Rhinolophus ferrumequinum: one gene and its partners. The protein of the gene in region 1 interacts with the protein of each later gene in a pairwise test. Links are inferred from orthologs where the notes say so. Each region holds a gene or a part of one and is shown on either strand. Other genes may lie near its edges.

What was found.
Region 2: the proteins of PNMA1 (region 1) and RTP5 interact in binary tests that used the Homo sapiens proteins (3 or more experiments, as listed by UniProt). The two-hybrid records come from large-scale screens. The link is inferred for Rhinolophus ferrumequinum from reciprocal best matches to the Homo sapiens genes PNMA1 and RTP5.
Region 3: the proteins of PNMA1 (region 1) and MCM7 interact in binary tests that used the Homo sapiens proteins (3 or more experiments, as listed by UniProt). The two-hybrid records come from large-scale screens. The link is inferred for Rhinolophus ferrumequinum from reciprocal best matches to the Homo sapiens genes PNMA1 and MCM7.

What each region holds. Positions count from the first base shown.
Region 1 is NC_046289.1:24,572,978-24,580,199, reverse strand, and holds PNMA1 (paraneoplastic antigen Ma1), read right to left. Parts: upstream 2,424-7,222; 5' UTR 2,340-2,423; coding exon 1,278-2,339; 3' UTR 528-1,277; downstream 1-527. Other genes in the region: MIDEAS (mitotic deacetylase-associated SANT domain protein), read right to left, coding at 7,170-7,222.
Region 2 is NC_046291.1:29,916-37,790, forward strand, and holds the start of RTP5 (receptor-transporting protein 5), read right to left. Parts: upstream 3,115-7,875; 5' UTR 3,059-3,114; coding exon 2,907-3,058; intron 1,406-2,906; exon of another isoform or gene 1,283-1,405; intron 1,090-1,282; coding exon 1-1,089.
Region 3 is NC_046290.1:90,388,717-90,396,558, forward strand, and holds the start of MCM7 (DNA replication licensing factor MCM7), read right to left. Parts: upstream 3,115-7,842; 5' UTR 2,988-3,114; coding exon 2,957-2,987; intron 2,488-2,956; exon of another isoform or gene 2,354-2,487; intron 2,171-2,353; exon of another isoform or gene 2,107-2,170; intron 1,778-2,106; coding exon 1,698-1,777; intron 1,352-1,697; coding exon 1,187-1,351; intron 1,031-1,186; coding exon 906-1,030; intron 832-905; coding exon 651-831; intron 331-650; coding exon 193-330; intron 1-192. Other genes in the region: AP4M1 (AP-4 complex subunit mu-1), read left to right, coding at 3,398-3,455, 3,566-3,654, 4,028-4,134, 4,217-4,313, 4,445-4,555, 4,641-4,721, 4,937-4,999, 5,085-5,151 and 7 more; TAF6 (transcription initiation factor TFIID subunit 6), read right to left, coding at 7,460-7,840. UniProt on the Homo sapiens protein: Acts as a component of the MCM2-7 complex (MCM complex) which is the replicative helicase essential for 'once per cell cycle' DNA replication initiation and elongation in eukaryotic cells.

The DNA.
Region 1 (7,222 bases):
AATGCTACGTTCATGTAATCACTTCTGGATTTAGTAGGATCTCAAAAGATGGACATCTTTAGTCACTGAATCTCTGCAGCCAAATAAGCATATTTTTAAGCCTTATTTTCCTTTTTATATCCTCAATATAAAATGGCTGCTGTAAAACTGAGACATTCATTTTACACAGGTATGAAGTTATCATATAATTCCTGCAGCAAAACATTTTTAACTGAAAATGGACTTAAAAGGGGAGAAAGAGCATTGATACATAACCTCCTAAATGCCGTTGTAGGATTTCCTAACATTTTATAGGCTAATATTTATTTATATCTACTGAGCCTCCGAACATTTGCCTTGTAGAAAACAAGCAAAAATAGAATACATTAAAAGGTACTGCAGTTTAAATTTACATAGTATTTATTATATAAAGCTTAAAGATAAAATAACTGAGGTTCGATTTTTTTTTTAGTGACATGGTGAAGTCTGAAAAGAATTCAGACTTTAATTGAACTGAAATTTTTGTAAGTCAGAAAAACCAGACAATACAATTTTTTAAATATTTTTATTCGTATACATGTATTTGATAACTTCAAATTTAGAACACAATCAGCATGAATAAGAACTATTCAATGACAAAGATTTGAAATGGATACTCTAGCCGGTTCATATTAACCTCCCCATGCGATTTATATCTGTATCTTGTACAGTGAAAACTTCTAATTTACACAGCTCTGTAACTGCAGTATTTTTCTAACACCCCATTTTGTAGTCTCAGAATACTTTTCAATTATACTGTTCCAGATGTTTAAAGATGAAAAATAATTAGCACTGTAAAGTGGAATGATAACATCTAATTAATTCACATTTTTCCCATTAATATAAATCAGGAACAATTTACAGTAAACACAAAAACCATTCACGATATTAGTAACAATAGTTCGTATTTTCACTGAACACTTCTTGTGTTAGCCAGGCTCTGGGCTAAACATCTGAACATGCAATTTAAGTACCTCGATAAGAAGTGTCACAAGTTCACATGTTTTTCACAATTGATGATGCCACGATGACAGCTTGCACTGAGCTCTCGGGTCCGGCATTTTACCGGGCATTTAGCTAGGACTCACTTGCGGCCGCTCAAGGTGCTCGCTTGCATGAGTTTACTAATGTTAGCATGAATACCCAGACCCGACTTCCCCCCAGAAAACAGGACTTGACTAAGACACGCGTAAAAGAGAGCACAGACAAGACAAAAGCGCTGTGATCTAGGTCTGCACTACAGCTCGGTTTCCTGGGGCTCAGAAGTGCCCCTCTAGGCCTAACTGCAGGAGGGCGGCCTCAGCCTCCTCCTCCTCCTCCTTGGCCTCCTCCTCGCGGATCTGCACCAGCAACTGGAAGAGGTTCGGAGCTGGCCCTTCCGCAGCCCCAGTCAGCCACAGCTGCCTTCGGATGGCCCCGCTGTGGTTGGCCCCGGCAATGACCTGCTCCAGGCGGGCCTGGTTTACGTTATCTTTATCTATGGCCCCTTTCTCCACCACCTTCTGCAGCAGAGGCTCCAGACGAATGACGTAAGCCGATAACTTTTCTCCTGGGTTCTGGTAAGTATTCAGAAATCTGACCTGCGCATCCCTAGAGCTCTCCACGCTTCCAAAAACCTGCTCAAGCGCCTTCAGGCATTCGGCGGTGGTTATCGCAGGGTTGTTAGTCTTGAGGATGCGGATGACATCAGCGGCAGGGCCCCTAAGACTCTCCATCAACCGCCGTCTCTTTTCCACATCAGACACCTGCCACTCCTCTATGACCTCATTGGTGTGCTCCAGCCAGGGATCAAAGGTCTCCTCCCCAGGCCCCGGGATGTCCCTCCCCGAGAACAGCGTCAGCTTCTTGTACCATATGGACTCAACAAGAGGCTGAATAACATTATCCAAAATATAGTTTAGCATCTCTGCTGGCATATCTGGGCCTGGGGCCGGAGCAGGATTCTGAAACCCAAGGACACGGGCAACATCTTGCACGGTCCACCCCTCTCTCGCTAGAAAGAGGTGCAACCTTTCTAAAAATTCGGCATCGGAAGTCGGGGGCTTAAAGACCACTTTCCAGACCCCTCCTTTACCTGGCATCTCCCTGGGGATGGCCGCGTAATCGACAGCGCCCGTGAGCTCTAACAAGGCTGCTTTCGCATTCTCTTCCCTCCAGAACATTCTCCCAAGCACTCGATAGGGCACCTGGGGCATCGCAGCCTGGAGGGTCTCTTCGATTTCAGCCTCATCACAGTTCACTGGGATCCCCCACACCAGCAGGGCTCTCTGGGAGTTCACATCCATCCCCCTGCACCAGTCTTCCAACAGCGTCATCGCCATTTTCCCAACTATCAAGAGCCCAATCCTACAAATACGGTTTAGACTGTGGCTCCCTGTGCTCTAGGGCTTAGGACAACAGCAGACACTCCCCTTTCACCCAATATGCTTCATGCAATCACAATTAGCAAATGACACCAGAGTCCCGCTCTCGTCCTTTCGCTGCCCCCTAAAGTCGGTGGTCGGCGCGTTCTCGCAGCAAAGCCTCTGGAATGCTCAGTCACGCGGCCGCGGCCATCTTGCGTCTCAGGTCGGGGTCCGCGGCCCCGGTCCTCCACCTGCACATATGGTGTCGCGTTGCAAGAGAAGGCCTGGAGCCAGGGCGGGCGGCGGAGGCTGAAGCTGTCGGGCTGGAGAGGCCGCCGGGGTGTGGTCGCGGGGGTGTGGCCGCCTCCTCTAAGCCGCCCGGGCGCGCCGGGCAGTCGCTGCTGCAGGAGTTGATCGCGCCGGCGTTCGCGATCAGAGCCGGGCCTTCAGTCGGCTCAGGGGCGGCTGCTTTGCAGACGAGGGTTCTGCCGCTCCTGGAGGGAGACTGTCCTGTGGTCGCAGCAGCGGCGGCAGGGCCAGTTCGCGAGCGGCTTCTTCGCGGGTGCAGGGGTCCCTCTGGGCGGCGAGGACAGCCGAGGACCGAGGACACAGGCACGGAGGCGCAGGCTGTGGCGGGCTTGCGCGCCGCTGCTGCCCCCAAGTCGGACCCGCAGCCAGCCGAGGAGATACTGCGGCAGTGGAAGGCGGGGCCGGCCGGGCGAGTGGCTTCCTCCCGCTCCGCCCCCGCGGCCCAGCTAGCTCCTGTGTAGCCATGGCAACGGTGGCCCAGACGACGCGAGATCCGCGCGCTCAGGCGGCCAGTGCGGTCGAGCGGTTGCCATGGTGCCAGCCAGGGGCTGCAGGCACTGGTTTCTCTGATGGCGCATTGCCTTTTTAATATTTTCCAGATTTTTTTTTTTCAGAGCACCGTGTTTAAGATAGTGATATACTTCTGGAGTGGATTTAAGATGATACTGTTGAAAATGCATCCGTCAAAGCAGGCTTGTCTACTCAGGTCGTTCGTACAGTCAATGTTACATATGAAAACACCCTGTTCAGCCCCGAGGCTTCCCTGTGCCACCTGATCACATCTGTACCCTCCATATTTCATCCCAATGAATGTTGGAAATGTGACATTTACATGTGTTTTTGTGAGACACTGGGTTGAGACTTGTCTAACATTTTGTTAAAAAAATCCATGTCAATTTAGTAATTTCTATAGCCAGGAAAACGCTAATGTGTTAATGTCCAGTCCTGGCATCATTGACAATGGGCTGATAAAACAGAATCCTTATGGTTCAAATATGTCGAGTAATCCTCTGCAAGCAAAACAAGGCCTATTTACGTCAATCCCAGATGGTGAAAATCTCCCCAAAAGAACACATCATTCAACTCTGAATTTTTAAAACCTTATGTAATAAAAGGTTTAAAGATACAGAAGAACATTCAAAAGTAAATAAGTTACATAGGTACATTACAATCACATCAGCAAGATTTTCTTTAGTGTATTAATTTTTTTATATAAAAAGCACACAAAAAATAAAATCTTCCGTCTGGTCTATCACAACTGTACAGCAAAAGAGGTAATATTTATATATATATGTACACTATTTTAACATGTAACAGTCTTTTTTAAAAAGGGTGCCACAGGCAGCAAACACACAAAAGGCAGTGTCTGTTCATTTTTTTCCAAAATAAAAGGAATATACTTATTTATATGCTATTAAAATATTTGTACAATAATTACAGACTGTCAAAGCTGTTCCTGTGCTCTGTTCTCTCCAACAAGGCCTTCAATTTAGAGACAAATGAGGAAAAGGTGAAACAGCTGCAAATTGTTAGAGGCAAATATTAACACAGCAAAATATGTGGAGGACATACAATTGTTTTATAAAAATATGTATACTTCCTGTAAACCTAAGGAGTTAGGCTTGCCAGTCTGGTAATAAATACCATCCGAGAAAAGTGAGCCCCAGTAAAAACATTTAAACAGCTGGGGCTTGAGTATGTATTGTATTCCTCCTTCATCTTAGCATCTGGCACATGAGAAGAAAGAGGTTAGGTCACTGAGGCAGTTAAATATAGGGGATACCTTTAGACATAAGCAGCACACGACCTCTGTGCCAGGGGTGGGGATGGGGTGGCAGAAGGGATGGGTGGGTACATTATCTGTGAGGGGGGCTGCTGAAGGCATGGAGGACAGTGCTGAAGCACTATCTCCTTGGGTGGGTAAGAGACCTCAGAAATGGTCTGGAACACAGGCACTAAGTTAGTTTCATGCCCTTAACTGAGTGCAGATGGAGGCTGGGAGATGGCTATGTGAGATGGTGTGGGGAGGACATTATAAAGCTGGAGATGTTTTGTCATTTAACTTCTTAAAGCAAAGAGCTCTGAATAGAAGAAGAAACAAAAGATGAGCCTAATATGTTCACCGGGAGAAAGCACCATAAAAAATATACCTATGCCAGCTGCTATGGCTGCACCTACTTAATTGGCACGTTACTTGCCACAATTGCATTTGCCCTCTAAACATTTTTAACTCTCACACTGCATTCTAGATATGTCTATCCTGGAACATGAACCCTTCTAAAATACGGTGTCTGGTGGGATTTATACAGAGAGGTGTCATCTTGATGTACTCTACCTACATTCACCTGGTCTGGTCTCCTATGAGCTTAGAAAAGGAGAATCACTCTAGACAAAGGAGGTTTCTGTTACATGTTCATAAAGGGGCCTGAAACTAAACACAATTTAAATAGAAAAAACCTTGGGAAACATAAGTAGCACTTTGGGGCAAAGCTGTGAAGGCACTCAGATTACACAAGTGATTTAGAAAAGAGCCTAAATTTGCTACCTCTCTGTTTTCTGGAGTGTATACCAGATTTTTGCAATCTTGGGGTATTGAACTTAACGAGCTTATAGAAGAAATTAACTGGGTTAGAATTTTGTTGCTCCCATAGCTGGGGTCCTGTAGGACCATATTAATGCATTAAATGAATGCTGAAAAATACCCGATAGTGCATAGTTTAGAAACAAAACAGCCTTCCACTCCCGGCTACCAACATGATGCTTTAAGCTATCTCAAAAGGAGTAGCAGAATGAGTACTTTTTGGCTCCTTCCTAACAGGTTGACTTGTCATATATCTACTTGCACTCACTTAGAGGTTCTTTTACACAACTAAAATTGAGTAACAAGATCAGAAAAATAACTCAGCCCTCCTGTGGGACTGGCAAGGGAAGGGGCCTCCAAAACCTTCCAGCCCTTTCACTCCAGTGAACTCCATGCCAAATACGGCTACTTCAAGCCAAAAACAAAACCAGACTTCTGGCTTCTAGCCATCCCCTCCGGCAATTTGAAAGTACAGACAGAGAAGAGGTAGCAACAAGAAGTGCCTTTGATGTCCCTTGCTCCTCCTAGTCTGTATGTGGCTTTGGTGACAACTTCCACCTTCCCATCCTTTCAGTGTTACTATCATTCTACTGGCAAGAAGTTCCAGAGCAACAAGGTGAGGGACCTTAGGGTCTTGGGAATGGGGGGAGCGGGGGGCGGGGAGATGACAAGAAGGTGCCTTGTTTTGGGATAAATGCACTTGGGCCTCTGAAAAGCAGGAGGCCCCTGGTCCCTGAGAGGATGTTAAAAATTAAATATTAAGAATAAATAAATAGCTCCCAAATGACCCAAGTCAAGAAATGAAGGCTCCTGTCCAATCTGGTTAGGAGACCTCCCCCTCCCAGGGAAGGATCCAGAAATCTCCAGCATGTAGGACTGGGGGCTGGGCTGTGGCTATCAGCAGAGACCATGTGGGGTGGGGTTAGGTGACAGTTGCTAAGGGCAGGACAGAAGCAGGCAGGGAACTTGCACCAAGGAGGGGCAGGCTGGGCCTGGGCTAAGCTCCCTTAGCAGCTTCCAGGGCCCAAAGTATTTGGCAAAAAGGTGGGAAGTAGGAAGATCCAAGGCTCATCAAAAGCTCCCTCAGGCCTAGCCCTGGAGCTTCCATCCTCAGCAGTTTCCTTACCTCCAGCAGGCTGAGAGCTTGGACAGGGACATTGGCCCTTTCCCCAAACATCAGAGAAAACTTTCCAGCCCCAGAAGGCTATTAGCAAGCAGAAAAGGGATAAGTACCTGTCCTTAGTCTCTCTCCCTCCAGGAATTCTGGTAGCTTCCCTCCCAGGGAGAAGGTGGCCTCTTTGAGGACAGGATCACTGGAGCAGCTCAGGCCTGGACATTGTCATGTAGGGGACAGCACAGGTGCCAGGCTGAGCTTCCTCTCAGGTATGGCCACCACAATCCCTCCAAGGGAGTCCCTTTTTCCAGGGCTTGGGGCAGGGCATTTGAGGTCCTCTGGAGCGGGGGAATAATGCTGCAAGGGGGGGTAGTGAGCTTGTGCTTGGCGCTCCGTGGTGACCAAGGGGAGCAGGGGAACAAAAAGGGAAGAGACTGCATTGCAGCAGGGGTCCCAGTGTAAGAGGCAGCGGTGGCAGCAGCTGGAGCCCCTCCCAGAGGGCAGCCCCAGTGAGCAGGGATTCTCATAGTTCCAGGAAAGCAAGAGGACAACTTCTGACAGACCGAATGCACAGAGAACTGGATCCTGCAGCCCTTAACACTGCTCCTGGGGCCTTTATAAATAAAAGAGCTGTTTATTTTATTGTCTTATTTGTTTTTCAGAGAAAAGTCCACGTGATCTCTCCTCTCTGTCTGGAGGTTCCAGGGCGCTTGCAGGCGTTTTCGCAGGCTGGTGCAGGGAGGGCCAGCCCCCCAGGGGGAAGGGCCAGTCCTGGGCCTTCCAGCCGAGCCTTCCTTCCTTGTCAGCCCCTCTCGCCCGAGCTCTCCTCCCGCAGGGCAGGCTGGTGGGGGGAGG
Region 2 (7,875 bases), on another chromosome or scaffold:
CTGAGCACCGACAGGGGGATGGTCAGGGAGCCCTTGCACTTGGAGCTGGGGCTGGGCTCTGGTCCCACCCGGATGAGGCCACTGCCACCCTGTCCCCAGTGCCCATCAGTGAAGATGAAGGGGAAGGTGAGGGAGCCGTTGACGTCAGAGGGGTGGCCCTGGCCTGGGATGACGTGGGCTAAGGACGAGGGGAAAGTGAGGGAGCCATCACCATCTTCTGTGAGGCCAATGATATAGGACACAGGCAGGAAGTCCTCTCCAGCTGGTCGGCCGCTGCTGCCGGAGACCGTGCCCGGACCCTTCCTGTGCGTGCCAGCCGGGCAGGACACAGAGCCGTGGCCTTTGTAGATGAAGCCTGTGACCTGGAAGGGCTTGGTGCTGCTGAGCAGGCGGCCCTTGCCGTGGAGGACGGGGGCCTTGATGTTCACCAGGACGCCCCTGCCCTTGGACGTGGCTGTGACGCTGGCAGGCAGGTAGATGGAACCTCTGTCAATGATAAGCGGTCCCCGGGCACCCTGCCCAGGGCCTAGAAGTCCCCTGTCACTGCGTGTGCGCACGAGGGAGAAGGGGACGGTGACAATGTCGATGTCCTCGCTGAAGAACTGGTTGCTCTCAGAGAGGGGGCTTCTGATGACGTCGGGCATGGCAGGGGGCACGGTGCTGCAGCTGGGGGTGCGGCCCCGGGCACGGAGGACCACAGGGCCACTGCCGCACACAGAGTCCTGGCTAGGGCTGCAGCTCCTAACTTCAGGGCCCCAAGCAGGGTCTGGGGGCTTCTGGAAGAAGCAGACCCCCAGCTCACAGGCCTCACACTGGTCCCCGAAGCAGATCTCGGGGCACTGGTCAGAGCTGAGGCCCTCACGGTAGCAATTGTGCAGGACAAACAGGACCAGCTTGTGCAGGAAGAGCCGCACGTTCAGGAGGCTCACCTGGCAGTGTCCCCGGGCGTCCCGCGGGCACACCTGACAGCCCTGGCCCCACACACGCATCTTCACCAGCCCCAAGTGGTTGTCTTCGTCCCACCACACATGGAAGAGGATGTGCACGTGGGCCGAGGACCAGCCCCACTGGCAGCGGCCGCACTGGAGCCTGGGAAGAACAGAGGCAGCAGTGAGAGGAGGGGACGGGGCGGCCGTGCTCCCTGGTGCCCCACGCCACTCGGGGGCAGAGTGGGGCCTTTGCCTGCACCCCATAATCTGAGACGCAAATGCCTGTTTGGCACCAAAGTGCACTGGGTGGCCAAGCCTGGCTTGACACACGTGAGGGCTCGCTCTGCACTTACTTGGGGCTGCGAGCTACTGCATTTCTGTCATATTATGACTTGGAGCTTCAGTGTCTTGAGGAAATGTCAGCAAAAAACAAAGACAGGCCTGTGGATACCGGTGAGAGGACGAAAAGAAGGCATCTGTGGTGGACAGACAGGCAGGGCTGAGGAAAGGGCTGTGGGGCCTCGGAGGGGGCAGCCCACCCCAGGGAGGGAAGGTGACAGGAAGGGAAGTAAAACCAGGGGGCAGGGGCCTGGGTGATGAGGACGGAGGAGGGGGTTGGGTGATGGGAACAATGCAGCAGACAGACAAGCATGGAGACAGAGGAGGGGCGGGGGTTCCTGGAGGATGGCGTGTGTCCTGGGCCCTCTGGCTTTGACCGTGTGAACAGGGGAGCCGCACTCCACCCCTGCATGGAAGAGGGCCAGCTGCTTGGGTCAGCGAATACATGGTGAAGGTGCTGGTGCCCCAAGCCATCTGAGGCTGCGTGTCCCAGGGCTGGGCAGTTGGGGCCTCTCTCCAAGACCCTCAGGTCACAGACGAGTCACCCCTGTGTGGCACATGCATGCAGGCATGGGAACCCACATGCGTGGGAAGGCTCCAAATGTTCCCAGGAAGCCCTGCGGGTCTGTCCTTAGAACTTTCCGTGACTGTGGCATGGCTCTGCCTCTGCGCCAGCCTGCAGCCACAAGTGGCCGGGGAGACTGCCTGTACGTGGAGAGTGCCCTGAGGACCGAACAACCAACGGTGTTGCGATTTCATTAATGAGCACGTCACAAGCCACACGTGCCGGAGGGCTGAGGAGGAGAATGTAGGTTTCTGTTTGTGACCATCCCACCAGCTGGTGTTTCCATTGAAAACTGAAAACCTGCTTGGCAGTGTTCCCCGTCCTCACCTGCCATTTAGAGCAGTTCTTCACTTTGGCTGTGGGAACAGCCAGGTGTTTAAAGTGCTTCTCAGACCTGAGAAAGCCAGCATTCCACGGCAATCAGGCCCGCTCCCCCACTGCGCCACCTCCCAGCTCTCCTTGAGGACTGGGGTGCCTGGCTAGGTGGGGCTCTGCAGCTCTGGGCCATCCCACTGGACTGACAGCTGTCATCATGACACTGATGACGATGATGATGAAGACGGAGGCTCACACAGTGACGCGAGGCCACCAGGGCTCCCAAATGGCCTCCCACTCTGCCGTGACCAGGCGGGGCACAGCGCCCCCTTTTCTAGGGCCGTGCCCCTCAGTGCACCTCTCCGCTTCCGGTCCCTCAGGCCCAGCTGCAGTGTAGGGCTGGGTGGTGGCGCTGCCATGGAGACCAGGAGATGCGCAGTAAACCGATGGAGCCCTCCTGAGTGGGTGACCATGTCACCCCAGCAGCCCCCAACTGGCAAGGCCCCACCTGGGCTCCAGGGGTCTAGCACTGCCAGGCAGGGTCTCTGCCTGTCACTGAAAGGGATCACAAGCACCCAGCCACCCACCTGTTGGGGGACAAGAGCAGGCCGGACACATGCCCCTCTCCACATGCCCAAGTGCCGGGATGCACCCAGCCTGGCCTTGGGACTCAGGCCCAGCCTAGGGCCAGTGGTCAAGCAGCCTTCAGCCCCTCCCCACCCCCAGGACCCAGCAAGAGGCCCCACCCTCCACCGCACCTTGAAAGCCCCCTCAGCCGGTACTGGAAACCTCCGCCGTCCACATGCCCAAAGGCCAAGTTCTCGTCAGGGACCAGCTCCCAGGTGTCCTGCGGCTTACTCTTGGCCATCAGCTGGGCCAGTGTGCGGGCCCACACGTGCACCCCGTCCATGCTGGCGCTGGGCCGCAGTGCGGACTGAGGCTTGCCGGCTCTGGCTGGTGGATGCCTCTGCAGCCCCACCCGCCGACCGACCGCTGCCTTGACAACCGGTCAGTCTCCATGGCAACCGGTTTGTCTCAGAGAAAGGAGAAACAGGCCTCTTTTTCTTATCCTTTTTTAATATTTTTCATTACGCAAGCAATCCATTTTCTTTAGGACAAATGAGAAGCAAACAGATAAATGACGAGGAAAAACAATGCAAGGCGATGACATTGCGGGGCAGCCGGCCACCCAGAGACCGTCTGGAGCTGCACGTGCACATGCAGATAGTCCAGCGCTCTTGTCACAAACAGGAAACCATGCTGAACATGTCACCTGAAGCCTGGTGTTTCCCTCCACACCGTGCCCCAGACAATGCCCCACGCTCTCCCCTTCAGCATCTGGTGTCTTAAGGCCGGTGGCTCCACCTTGTCTGTCCTGCCTGTTCCCAAGCTGCTCAGTGATGGTTCTCTACCGTCACAAACAAGGCTGTGAAGAACTTTAACTTTACGTGTCATTGCAAATTTTCAAACTTTTTATTGGCTATAAATGTACATCATTTACGTAAAAATGCCTAAAACATACACACACAGCTTCATGAACTTCTATAAAGTCTGAGGTCAGCACCTGAAAGAAGCCAGCCTCCAAAAGCTCTCTGTGTGTTCTTTCCCACCAAGGCACCGCCAGCCCCCTGGGCTGGAAAACCACCACCCGCCCAGTGTGCGCCCCAGCAGCTGCAAGGGAGTCCGGACAATGTTTTCTGTGCACATGTGTCTGGCTTCTCCCGTCTTTTTGGGGTTTTGTGTGTGAGTTTCAAGAGCATGCATAGCTGCAGTTTGTCAGGTGCAATGAGAACAAGTGAATTGAGGAAAGAATGGCCAATGTTCAAGCAGAGTGGGGAGGAGCCTGACCCCTGGACCCCAAGGGAAGGAAGATGCAAATGAAGCACAAAGGAAGTCCACCTTTGGGTGCCTGTGGTTGAGGAGGCACCCTCAGGACAAGGGCCACACAGAGGCATGACTGTCACACCTATTCAAGCCGCCATACTGAGTGAGCAGGCTTTTCCACGTGACTGTTGACAGGCAGTCAAATGGGACCAAAACCATAAAACCCCCGCTCAGCGTTGGTGTTGCCCAGTGAGGCTGACAGGTACCTGCCGTTCCCCACACCCCGCAAGGCCTTGTCCCCGAGCATCGTCCACAATGGCCCAGACGTGGTGGAGAGCACACTCTCCCCCGGCGATTCGGCAGACTGTCCTGGGGGACAGCCAGAGTGAACCAGGGGAGTACCCCTCCCCCGATATGGGCCCTTGCCACATCTGTGTGCCATGTGCTCCCCCAGGGCACATGGAAGCGCTCACTGCAGCCAGCCACGCTTCTCGTCCACAGGGACAGAGTGTGTGCTGTGTCCCTAGCTGAGAGCCACCACGCCTGCTGGCCAACGGTTTCCAGGTTCTAGAACCACAGCCTCCACCCCTTCTGACAGGTGACAGGCTGAGAACCAGGCCCCTCCGTGCCTTTTCTGCAGGCTGCAGAATCCTAAGTTAGTCGCCCTTCATTCAGCTCTTCAACTCACCAGTCTGAGCCCGCCACCTGCTCGGGCTGACATCCCAGGGGCTCTTCCCTCTCGTGCCACCTTGTCGTGGAGTGACTATTTTATCGTTCCATTCTCATCCTGCCACAAACTTGGGTGCCACTCTCTGTTTCTATTATTTTGCTGGCGGCCATAGAAATTCCAACACACAAATTTAGGATAACCCTAACCTGAAGTAAATCAAGACCTTCAGAAGGATGGAAGCGGTGCTCTGCCCTCGCCTACGCGCTCCTCCTCGTGGAATCCAGACGCGCATGCGCCTGCCCTTCCCACCATGCTGTCCACGTTGCCATGACTCTGTCTCTCTAACATGCGAACTGTAACCCGTCTCTCTAAGCTGCACACTCTAACCCATCTTTCAACCTGCTGTCACGCGGGGCGGCCTGCGGGGTCTCGGGTCCCACTCCCCACATAAGAACGCAGGATATGCTGAGGCCAAAAAGGAACACCCACGGAGCCATAGGTAGGGGAGTCACACCACTATAGTCTCACTGGAGGCTGGTTTCACACGACGTGCAACCTGCTGTCCGCTTTTCTGCCAACCGACCAACTGTCCTCGACTCCCCTCGACTCCACTCCCCAACGTAGCTGCGGCAGTTATATTAGTGGCCAGTGGCTCAATGGTTACAGCTGACGGCCATCTACTACCCGAGTCAGCACCTTTCCACGAGAGGCCGAGAGCCTGGAAACTGCTCTCTGGGCCTCTGCCCCCCCAGTGTACTTCCACCGATTTTTTCCAAGTCAAGTTGTTGTCTTTCAGTCATAGTGGAGGGCGCAGTTCAGCTCCAGATCCAGTTGCCATTGATAGTTGCGGCGGGGGACACAGCCCACCATCCCTTGCGGGAGTGGAACCGGCAACCTTGTGGTTGAGAGGACACACTCCAAACAACTGAGCCATCCGGGAGCTCAGCGGCAGCTCAGCTCAAAGTGCTGTGTACAGTCTTAGTTGCAGGGGGTGGAGTCCACCATCCTTTGCAGGAGTTGAGGAATTGAACTGGCAACCTTGTGGTTGAGAGCCCACTGACCCATGTGGGAATCGAACCGGCAGCCTTCAGCGTTAGGAGCTCAGAGCTCCAACCTCCTGAGCCACCGGGCCAGCCCCCTGACACTTCTTTTTGGTTCTTTCAACCATGTGGCATCTTTGCCTGGCAGCTAAGTGTGACAGTAAGATACAAGGTATGTGCCTCCAAGAAAGTTCCAGGATGAGACCAGATAGCTGGGCATCATCCGACTCCTTCTACTCCACTTTCACCTTCTTCTGGTCCACAGTGCAGAGATGATGGCCAGCCCTCCAGCAGCCATCTCAGACCATGGGGTCACCTTGCTGAGGGAGCAGAAAGGTAAGACCTGGATTCCTGAGAACAGCTGGCATTGCCCTCCTACTTCCAGGCAGGTTACTTCCAGATTTCTTATTCAAGACAGAAATAAACTTCTGGCTGCCACTGTTTCTTAAGGCACTGTTTTCTAGGGTTTTGGGAGTATCACCCAGCCAATCATAACAAAGCTAACTGATATTCTGGGACTATACCTAAAGTCCAGGGTTTTGGTACACACATACACATGTTTACACATGAATGCACATATAGGAACATACATGCCTACACACATGCAACATATATACACATTACACACAAACACACACATTTGGAAATTTAAACTATAAATTCACATTTAAACCACTAACAGCATTCTAGAAAGTTTGGAAAATAAAAGGGTAAGAGTTTCCTGTGACCCCCTGCCCGCCACCTCAACAAACAAAAAATTCAGCTAACTTTATTCTTGTGTATAGTAAATGGTGAAAATACTCCATTCAATTTGTTTAATTTGGCTCTTGAATTGGGCAGCTAAATTAGGCACCCTTCTTTAACTTCTGGGAAATGCTTTAAAAACAGGACAGAACAGAAAGTTTTTATTTGCAAACACTATTAACCATTTCCTGTTCCAACCTCAGAAGTAGCTGTGCCCCACAGACGGTGGTGGGTCACTGACATCACCACCGGCCTCCTCAGAAAGGTTTCGGGATGATCCTGCTGCTTCCTGGGTTTCTCCCCACTGATGGAAACTGCCTCAGGAGCGCGCGGGGGATCCCCTCTCCCCCACTTTCCATCTGTGCTGGCGCATGTTCCACCGCCCGCTGCGTGCGCGTCACCTGGGGCGGTCACCTTGGAAACTCTAGAGCTCTTCTCCCCAACCAGATGGGGCCCATACAGGGAGCTTTCACAGCCCCCAGGACCAGCTGGGTCTCAGGAAGTGGGGTGTAAACAGCCCCGGGGCCCCCTTTGCTCGTTTCTCTTCCTCCTCGGTCCAGCAGGAAGCAGGTGGGCAGCTGGGCTCACCAGACAGCAGGAGAGGACACCGGTGGTGCAGGAGCTCACGCCAGCACCCGAGACCAAGGTGGCCATGTGCTCCCAGAACCGAAGCTGACTCCACTCAGAACCCGCAGCACAATCAGCAAAGCTCAACAGAGAGGGTCCAGGCGAGCCACTCGGCCCGTCCGGAGCTCTGCTTGGGGGTCAAAGGTGCCCACGGAGACATGCTTACTCATAGGCCAAGTCCACGGGTGGGTCACACTGTGTGAAAGCCCTGCCCAACAGGCCACACACAGCTCACCCATTTGTATGCGTTGTGCAAACACAAAGGCACAGAGATGGAGGCACAGCAGGTGGCAGCTGGGACATGAGGCAGGAAGGAGGAGGGCCTGGTAACAGCGGGCACGTGCCCTCGCATGGAGAAACACTGTGCAGCAAACACGCACACAATCAGTGTGTGTGGTGGGGACAGTGGGGCCCTGAATATGACCCCCACGTGGCCGTACCCAGATCAGCATCCTGGCTGACTATGGATGGTGACCGTGCAAATGTTATCACTGAAGAAGCAGGACTGAGTGTGCAGGGCTGGCTCTTTATTACTGACACTCACGCGAACCTACAGTTACTGATAAGGACACAAAATGTCCTTCTCTAGTGCAGAGCCTGTTCAGCTGGTGTGCTGGGTGATCTCAGACGCCCCCAGCCCAGAACCTGGTTGTTAGAGAGGGTTAGATTTGAGGGCAAGAGATGGGCGACCCTGGCTGTGACCCCAGTTGCAGCCTCTTAAGCATGAAGTGCTGAAGCCAGGACACAGGGCAGGGAGGAGAGGACACAGGAAGGGGGCAGATGGAGCCCCCGACCTTCCCTCCTTCCTCCACCCAGGGAACC
Region 3 (7,842 bases), on another chromosome or scaffold:
GAGGAGGGAAGCGGAGATTTCCTTTACTTCTTCCTAGCTCAATCAGAAAGTTTCAGTCAAACCTGCCTCCTGATCTAGGTGACTTCTCTGCCTCAGCTCTTCGTTTGTTCTTTCTTCCACTCAGTGAGTGAGTACAGTATTTGAATGGACTCTCAAGCCCCACCTTCCCTGGGCAACATATCCCAAACTCACATGTTCTTGCATCTTCATCTCCTGGAATTTGATGAATTTGGAACCACGTGTCTGCAGATATAGCCGCCCACCAGAGCGGTTGGTCTGGCACTCCTGGCTTGGGCACATGATCAGAGGCATGAAAGTGGGAGATTGGATCTAGGATGTAAGAAAGAAAACACCAAAGAAAGTGAGAAGCAAATGAACCAATTAGAGTCAGTCACTTGAATCACATTTCCTCTTGATGGCAGATACCATAAATTGTCAAGAATGATCTTGAACTATTCTGGGTCAACAGGGATAGGCATCAAGAACACAGAACACGTGGAAAAACTACTACATACCAGAAAAAGAATGAGAAATATACACACAGATGTGTTTCACAACAGACAAAATAACAGATCAGCGTCAGCACACAAAACTCTTACAGAAAATACTAACAGAGTTAAGTGTGTTCCTGTTCCTTGCTCCATACATACCGGCTGGTAGGTCTCTGCCCCACACTGGTCACAAGTGTAAGTGGCCACTACCATTCGGGGTTTGACTTCAGACACACGAGTGACGATTCCACGCACAGTCACCAATTTCCCCAGAGAGTCAGCCCGTACTTCCCGGATCACACGATGCTTGTTACTGCTTGGGCCTTCAAAGTACAGCTCACTAAGGGAAAAAACAGTCATTAGCAAGGTCCTGGAGGACAAATTCCCATACTCTTCCCCACTGAGACCACTCACAATCTACGCATGAGTTCAGGAGGGTACTGGTTCTGGGGACTTCGGGTAGCCGCAGGGTCCCGGCTCCGCTGCTCCATCATCAGCCGGTGCTCAATGTAAACATCCAAAACATCCTTATTTACCACCTACAGGTATACAGAAGAAGACGGGAAAAATGAGTGGCAGGATGGGGCATAAAGAACATCAGGTAGAAATTACTGCCCCCTTCCTCAGTTCAGAAAACGTGAGAAGCTTCCTGACAGAAATCTTAAGTTCCTTGCCCTGCATTTTCCTGCACTCACCTCCCTCTCCTTGTACTGAGGCAGCAGCTCTTGTATGGTATCAGCAAAGAGCCTCGCATAGCGCTTGGTGTTCTCACAAATTGAGTCCACCAACTCAGGGTCCTCCTCAGCCACATCATCTAGGTCTATGTACATTGCCACTTGCTCCCGATGAGCCAGTTGAACCTGGGGTGGGGAAGAATCAACAAAACTCCAGAACCAAGTTTACCATGCTCACCAGCGTTCACATGCAAAGACATTATCACCATGAGTTCAGCATACAGGTTCCAGGCTTCCAAAAGCGAGAAAGAGCGGTGTGATACAGAGCAATACTCACTTCTCAGCTATCAAAGGACAGCCTCCCAACTCCTAAAAACACCTTACTTATCACAAATGTAGTATTATATTCACTTGGCATACCATATGGCTGTAAACACGTCACTTACAAATGGACTTGCTGAAGTGAGTCCAGCCACTTCTTACAGCTCCTGTAAGCAACCAGCCCATCCCCTCTACCTAATTGTAGACTTACCAACTGGTTCCCATACTTGAACTGCTTCTTGCCAAATTCATCATCCTGGTAAAACTCTTGTAGGAACTTCTTCACCTTTTCTATAAGGTAAACATAAAATCATGAGAATCAACCTTCCTTTCTTTCGGATACCTTACTGCAAACCACTCTGATAGAAATCCAAGAAACTCACTTCCATTTAAACCATTTCATTTAAACAAACTAGTCATATGAACATTTAAATAACCCTACATAATCCTCCCCAGACTGGGCAGAACTCCTTTTCACGAGTCAGTGTTTAACGAGAGAATAATGAGGGGCCCCGGACAGTTTAGAGTACCACCCAATACCCTCCCCTAGGGGAATTCCAGTCTCTGCCTTAGAAATCTCAGCGCCCTTTCCCAAAGGCCCCCCACTCCCAGCAACACACTCAGGTTTCAAGGTTCTCAGCTTTTCTTCCACGCGTATGGAAGATTCCCCCTTTTCTTTCGTTCCCCTAAATCTCTGCCACTAGGCCCATCCTTCACCCCACCCCCTCTCCCGCCACTGCTTCCGCTCTTAGTAAACAAAGAAGCACATGGGCCCAGATGCCGCCGCCTCACAGCCCGGGATTCCTCCGCTCAGGGCGTGAGCCCCTCCGACTATTGGCCAGCTCGTCCAGGGCCACTCGGTCCCACCTGTTATCTCCTCTCTCGGCCTCCCACTAAAACTCCCAATTGCAGGCACTCCCCAACCCTCAGTAGCTCTCTCCGAGGCCACCGCGCGGAAGGACACTGTTTACACACGACACTCCCTCCAGAGGCGCCGCGCAACTTCCGCCCGCCTTCACTTCCGCTTGGAGGTTGGCCTAAAATGGCCAATCCCTGCGCGCAGCGGCCCAGGCCCGCCCGCCCCCGGAGCTTCGGCGCGTCTCTGGAGAACGCGGGCACTCGAAGTGCTTATAAGTGCGGATGAAAGTGAGCCAGGGAGTGCTCAACACTGCGCCTTAGACAGGGTCTCCTGAGGTCCCGGTCTCTCCTGGGCGCGGCCCTCCCCACTGGAGCCACCAAGCCGGCCGGCTTTCCCCCGCCCCACTTCTTTCCCGGGCACGGTCACCAGGTCTTCTCCGACCTTAGTCTTCCACGTGCCTCCCAGGCAATGTCTTCCTCAGCTCCACCGCTTTGGGCTCGGGGTCTGGCCTCGCGCTGAGCCCGGCCCCCCAGGACGCCAGCCCAAACCAACAGGTGTTGGTCGGGACGCTTCCCGCGCCAGACGCCCCTCCCAGACTTGCAGACCCTCACCTTTCTCGAGCGCGTAGTCCTTGAGTGCCATCGCTGCCGAGAGCCCTACGGCAGCAGTTAGCGGGCTCAAGGATCACCTCGACAGCAGTGAACGTCCGCGCGGCGGACTGTGGCTGACCAACCGAAATTGGCGCGAAACGTCGCCCAACACGTGACCGGCGCCGTTGCGAGGGGGCCAATCCGAGAAGAGGCCCTCCGTCCCTCCCACTCACCGCAGGCTCCAGCCTCCGCCAATCACCGAGCGAGCCTGGGCTGAGTGACGGGGAGGTGGTGCGGGCGTCTGAAGGGACAGATTGGGCAAGGCTGGGCGGGCACCGGGTTTCCCGCGTTGGAGGAGAATCGCTCTTAAAGGGCCAGTCCACGAGCGTCCTTTTGTTCCCGGGTAGCAGGAAGGGGCAGGCCCAACATTCGAAGTCTCCTTGTCTACTCTCCAGAACGGCAATGATTTCCCAGTTCTTCATTCTGTCCTCCAAGGGGGACCCGCTCATCTACAAGGACTGTATCCTTGACCCCACAGGTCCGTGGGGGGAGGGAGGGTGGGCTGGATGGGAGTAGTGCCCCAGAGCCAGTCCGTGTCGCCAGCTCCTTAGCTGTCCTTCAACCCGTCAGTCCGTGGGGATAGTGGCGGCCGGGATGTGGCCGAGCTCTTCTACCGGAAGCTGACGGGACTGCCCGGAGACGAGTCCCCGGTTGTCATGGTAACCACACGGGAGTGGGAGTGGTACTCCAGGCAAGGTCGAGTAGGGGGGCGCCTCCTCCCTCCCTCCTAGGGCTTCCTTGAGAGCTTCCCGTTGGTGGATGCATTCCTCCAAATAATGTTAACGAGTTTACTGAGCGCTAACTATATAGCAGGCACGGATCCACCCATGTCTTAATCCTCGGCACCTCTGGGTAGGAACTATTATTAACTCCACTTACTCGGGAAGCGGGGCCCTAGAGAGATTTCTAGTTCGCCCTAGGTCGCACTGCTCTGAAGTAGGGGAATCAGGATACCAGCCCACGTCTCATGGGTCCTTAAGCACAGCTTTGTTTTCCTGACGCTCCCCCCCCCCACCCCCGCCTTTGCCTCAGCACCACGAAGACCGTCATTTTATTCACATCAGACACAGCGGCCTGTATTTGGTGGCCACGACTTCAGAAAACATTTCTCCCTTCAGTCTCCTAGAGCTGCTCTCTCGGTGAGGAGGGCAGGGCTGGGCAGCTGGGCTTGGGGGTCTGAGAGGAGGAGGAGAAGATGCACACTCCATTCTTTTCCCTCAGGTTAGCCACTCTCCTGGGCGACTACTGTGGCTCCCTGGGTGAGGGCACCATCTCCCGAAATGTGGCGCTTGTCTATGAACTCCTGGATGAAGTGCTGGTAAGGTCCAAGGATTTTCCTCATTGTCCCTGTTCCCTGAAGATCTGTTCCTCGGTTGGGAGGCTAAGTTCACTCCTTTTCACCGCTTTCCTCCGCTAGCCATGCAAAGACTGTTCTTCCTCTGCCCCTAGGACTATGGCTACGTACAGACCACATCCACAGAGATGCTGAGGAACTTCATCCAGACCGAGGCTGTGGTCAGCAAGCCCTTCAGCCTCTTTGACCTCAGCAGTGTTGGCTTGGTCAGTGAAGGAAAGAGGACCAGGAGGGGGAAGGGTTGGCAGCGAGTGTCAGACCTGAGGACTGATTGCTTTGGGTGCTTTCCAGTTTGGGGCTGAGACACAACAGAGCAAAGTGGCCCCGAGCAGTGCAGCCAGCCGCCCCGTCCTGTCCAGCCGCTCTGACCAGGTGAGAGGGATGAACGGGTTCAGACCCTCTGATTTTTTTCTGGGACCCCAGAGTCTAATTTCCCAGTGTATCTTTCCACCTCCCTCAGATGTGGATTATCCAACCCCTTCTCTTACCTTGTGTTCCCACCCCAGGGCCCTAGCCTCCACTGCCCTGTCCACTTTAGAACACAGGTGGTTCAGCCTCCACCCACCCAAATCTCCTCTCTTCCTCAGAGCCAAAAGAATGAAGTGTTTTTGGATGTGGTCGAGAGACTATCTGTGCTGATAGCATCTAATGTAAGTTCCCCGGAGCTGAGGTCAGATGTATCTGGGAAACTATTGGGGAGGTGGCCTCTGGGCATTAATCTCCGGCCACTCTCAGGGCTCGCTGCTGAAGGTGGACGTGCAGGGAGAGATCCGACTCAAGAGCTTTCTTCCCAGTGGCTCTGGTGAGAAGTTTGCAGGTTGGGCCCAGGGTTGGGTTTGGGACAGCCTCCTAGATGATCTGTGTGGTGGTATTTGATGGCCTTTTCCGATCTGATGTCCTTTCCTCTGACAGAGATGCGCATTGGCTTGACAGAAGAGTTTTGTGTGGGCAAGTCAGAACTGAGAGGTGAGGAGACAGTGGGTCTTTCTCTCCTAGGCATAGGTCACTGCCAGAGGTTTGGTGGAGAGAAGTCAGAGATAGATCCCCACCCCACCCCACCCCTGCTCTTCTCTCCCAGTATATGGGTCAGGAGAGGAGTCTTTCTGTCTTTACAGGTTATGGGCCGGGAATTCGGGTGGATGAGGTTTCGTTTCACAGCTCGGTGCACCTTGATGAGTTTGAGTCTCACCGAATCCTCCACTTGCAGCCACCTCAGGGCGAGGTCAGGATGGACTGGCTTAGATGTTCCATCTACTCGGGAAGGGAGGCAGCTCAGGTGTAAGGGGACTAACCCGACTCTGTTCCTTCCTGGTCTCAGCTGACTGTGATGCGGTACCAACTCTCAGATGACCTCCCTTCCCCGCTCCCGTTCCGGCTCTTTCCCTCTGTGCAGTGGGACCGAGGTTCTGGCAGGTGAGACCATTTTCTCTGCTCTAGAACTTCTGTAGAGCTCAAGCCAATATTCCCAAGTCTTATTGTGGAGGGGTGGTGGTGGTAGTGGTATAGAATACAAGTTAGAAAAAGGTACCCTCCTCCCGTGGACTCAGCCCCATGAACTCTAGTGACTAGTGGAATTGGGTAGATTTCAGCCTTTCTCTCTCCTTCCCGGGGCACAACCAACACAGCCACACGTGGGGGCTTGGGTGGAGGATGGTGAGACGGCAGTAGGATATGGCCCAAGTAACAGTATTTGTACTCTCACCTAGGCTCCAGGTTTATCTGAAGTTGCGATGTGACCTGCCCCCAAAGAGGTACGAGTGGGGGTAGTAGCCAAGACTAGTTCAGCTATGGGGAGTAGGAGACAGGGCCCAGATACCTATTGCTTCCACCTTCAGATGCAGCCACCAGCCTCAGAATCCAGTTTAGTTTGAGGCTCGAGAGTTTGGTAAGGGGATGAGGTGGCCCTTGTACTGCATTCCAGCTGTGACATTAATGAAGTGTGGGGACAAGTCACTACTTTCCTGGGGCTGACTCTGTTCCTTTCACTGTGCAGCCAGGCTCTCAACGTCAGGATGCACCTTCCCCTACCTCGAGGGGTGCTCAGGTTAGTGTGTGTTTAACGTGGGGGTTTGCTTGGGTGGCTTTACTAACTTCCTTGGACAACTGGGTGGCATTGGGGAGGAAAGTGTGCACTATGGGGTGGAACTGGCCTGCCCCCAAGGCAGGTAGGGGCTGAGCCCAGCACCTTTTGTCTCTAAACTCCAGCCTATCTCAGGAGCTGAGCAGCCCAGAACAGAAGGCAGAGCTGGGGGATGGAGCCCTTCGCTGGGACCTGCCTCGGGTGCAAGGCGGCTCTCAGCTCTCAGGCCTTTTCCAGGTATTAGCGGCTGATTCTCTAAAGCCCTCTTGTCCCACTTCCATTTTCAGCCCTCTGACCCAACCCTGCTAATGCAGTTGCTGCATCGTCCCCGCCAGCGTGGTCAGCTTTCTGGCCCCTTGACTTCCCTGCCCGCCTTCCTCTCCCTCTCTGTGCCTTCAGCATCCCTCCCCCTGCCTCTGCCTCCCACAGATGGACGTCCCTGGCCTGCCTGGGCCTCCCAGTCAAGGGCACTCCACCTCAGCCCCTCCTCTGGGGCTAGGCCCGGCAAGCCTCTCCTTTGAACTTCCCCGGCACACGTGCTCTGGCCTCCAGGTTCGCTTCCTCAGACTGGCCTTCAGACCCTGCAGCAACGCCAATCCCCACAAGTGGGTGCGACACCTGAGCCACAGTGATGCCTATGTCATTCGGATCTGAGGCTCCCCAAATGAGGACATAGGCAGCAAAGGCGGTGGTCCGTGGCTGGGGAGAAGGATGATACTGTCAATTCCAGCCTTCTGGTGTATGGCTATGGATCTGATTGGAAGAGTCTAAGTCCTAGAGACCATGAGGGCTCAATGGGTTAGACCCTCCCATAGTACTGGTCACAGGAAAGACTGAGGTGGAACAGAACTTATAAATCAATCTTTTATTCTGAAAAGCTGGCTGTACAATATCTAAAAAGAAAGTTAAGGTAGGAAGCAGGTTGCTACTTCCTTCCACCTAGTAAGTGTGTGTGTGTGTGTGTGTGTGTGTGTGTGTGTAGGCGGTGAGAGAATCTGAGGAAGAGAATGTTGACAGATGTTTGACAGCATCAAGGTGCAGGCTGAGGGGAGCCAGATCCAGGGGGTTGGGAGCCATTGGCCTTTGGAGTCCCTGGAGCTGGAGGGGGGCTATCTCCAGCTTCCTGTTTCCCCCCACAGAGGGCACTGCCCCCAAGTGGGGAGGGGGCTGAGGATGGCGGAGGGACTGGAGAAGGATGGGAGGTGGGGCCTCCTTTGCCCTCCCCGGTTGGGGGAAGAGAGACCACTATGTACTTCTGGACACTGCCGGGGCCAGAGGGGGCAGTGCTGGGGGGTGCAGCTGTGGCGGTGGAGACCAGCTTGACAATGGGCTGCACGCTGGGGACCGTGGTGGTAACGGGAGAGGTAGTGGTAGAGCCTGAGCCAGGCGCTGAGGTGCTGAGGGACAGGACCT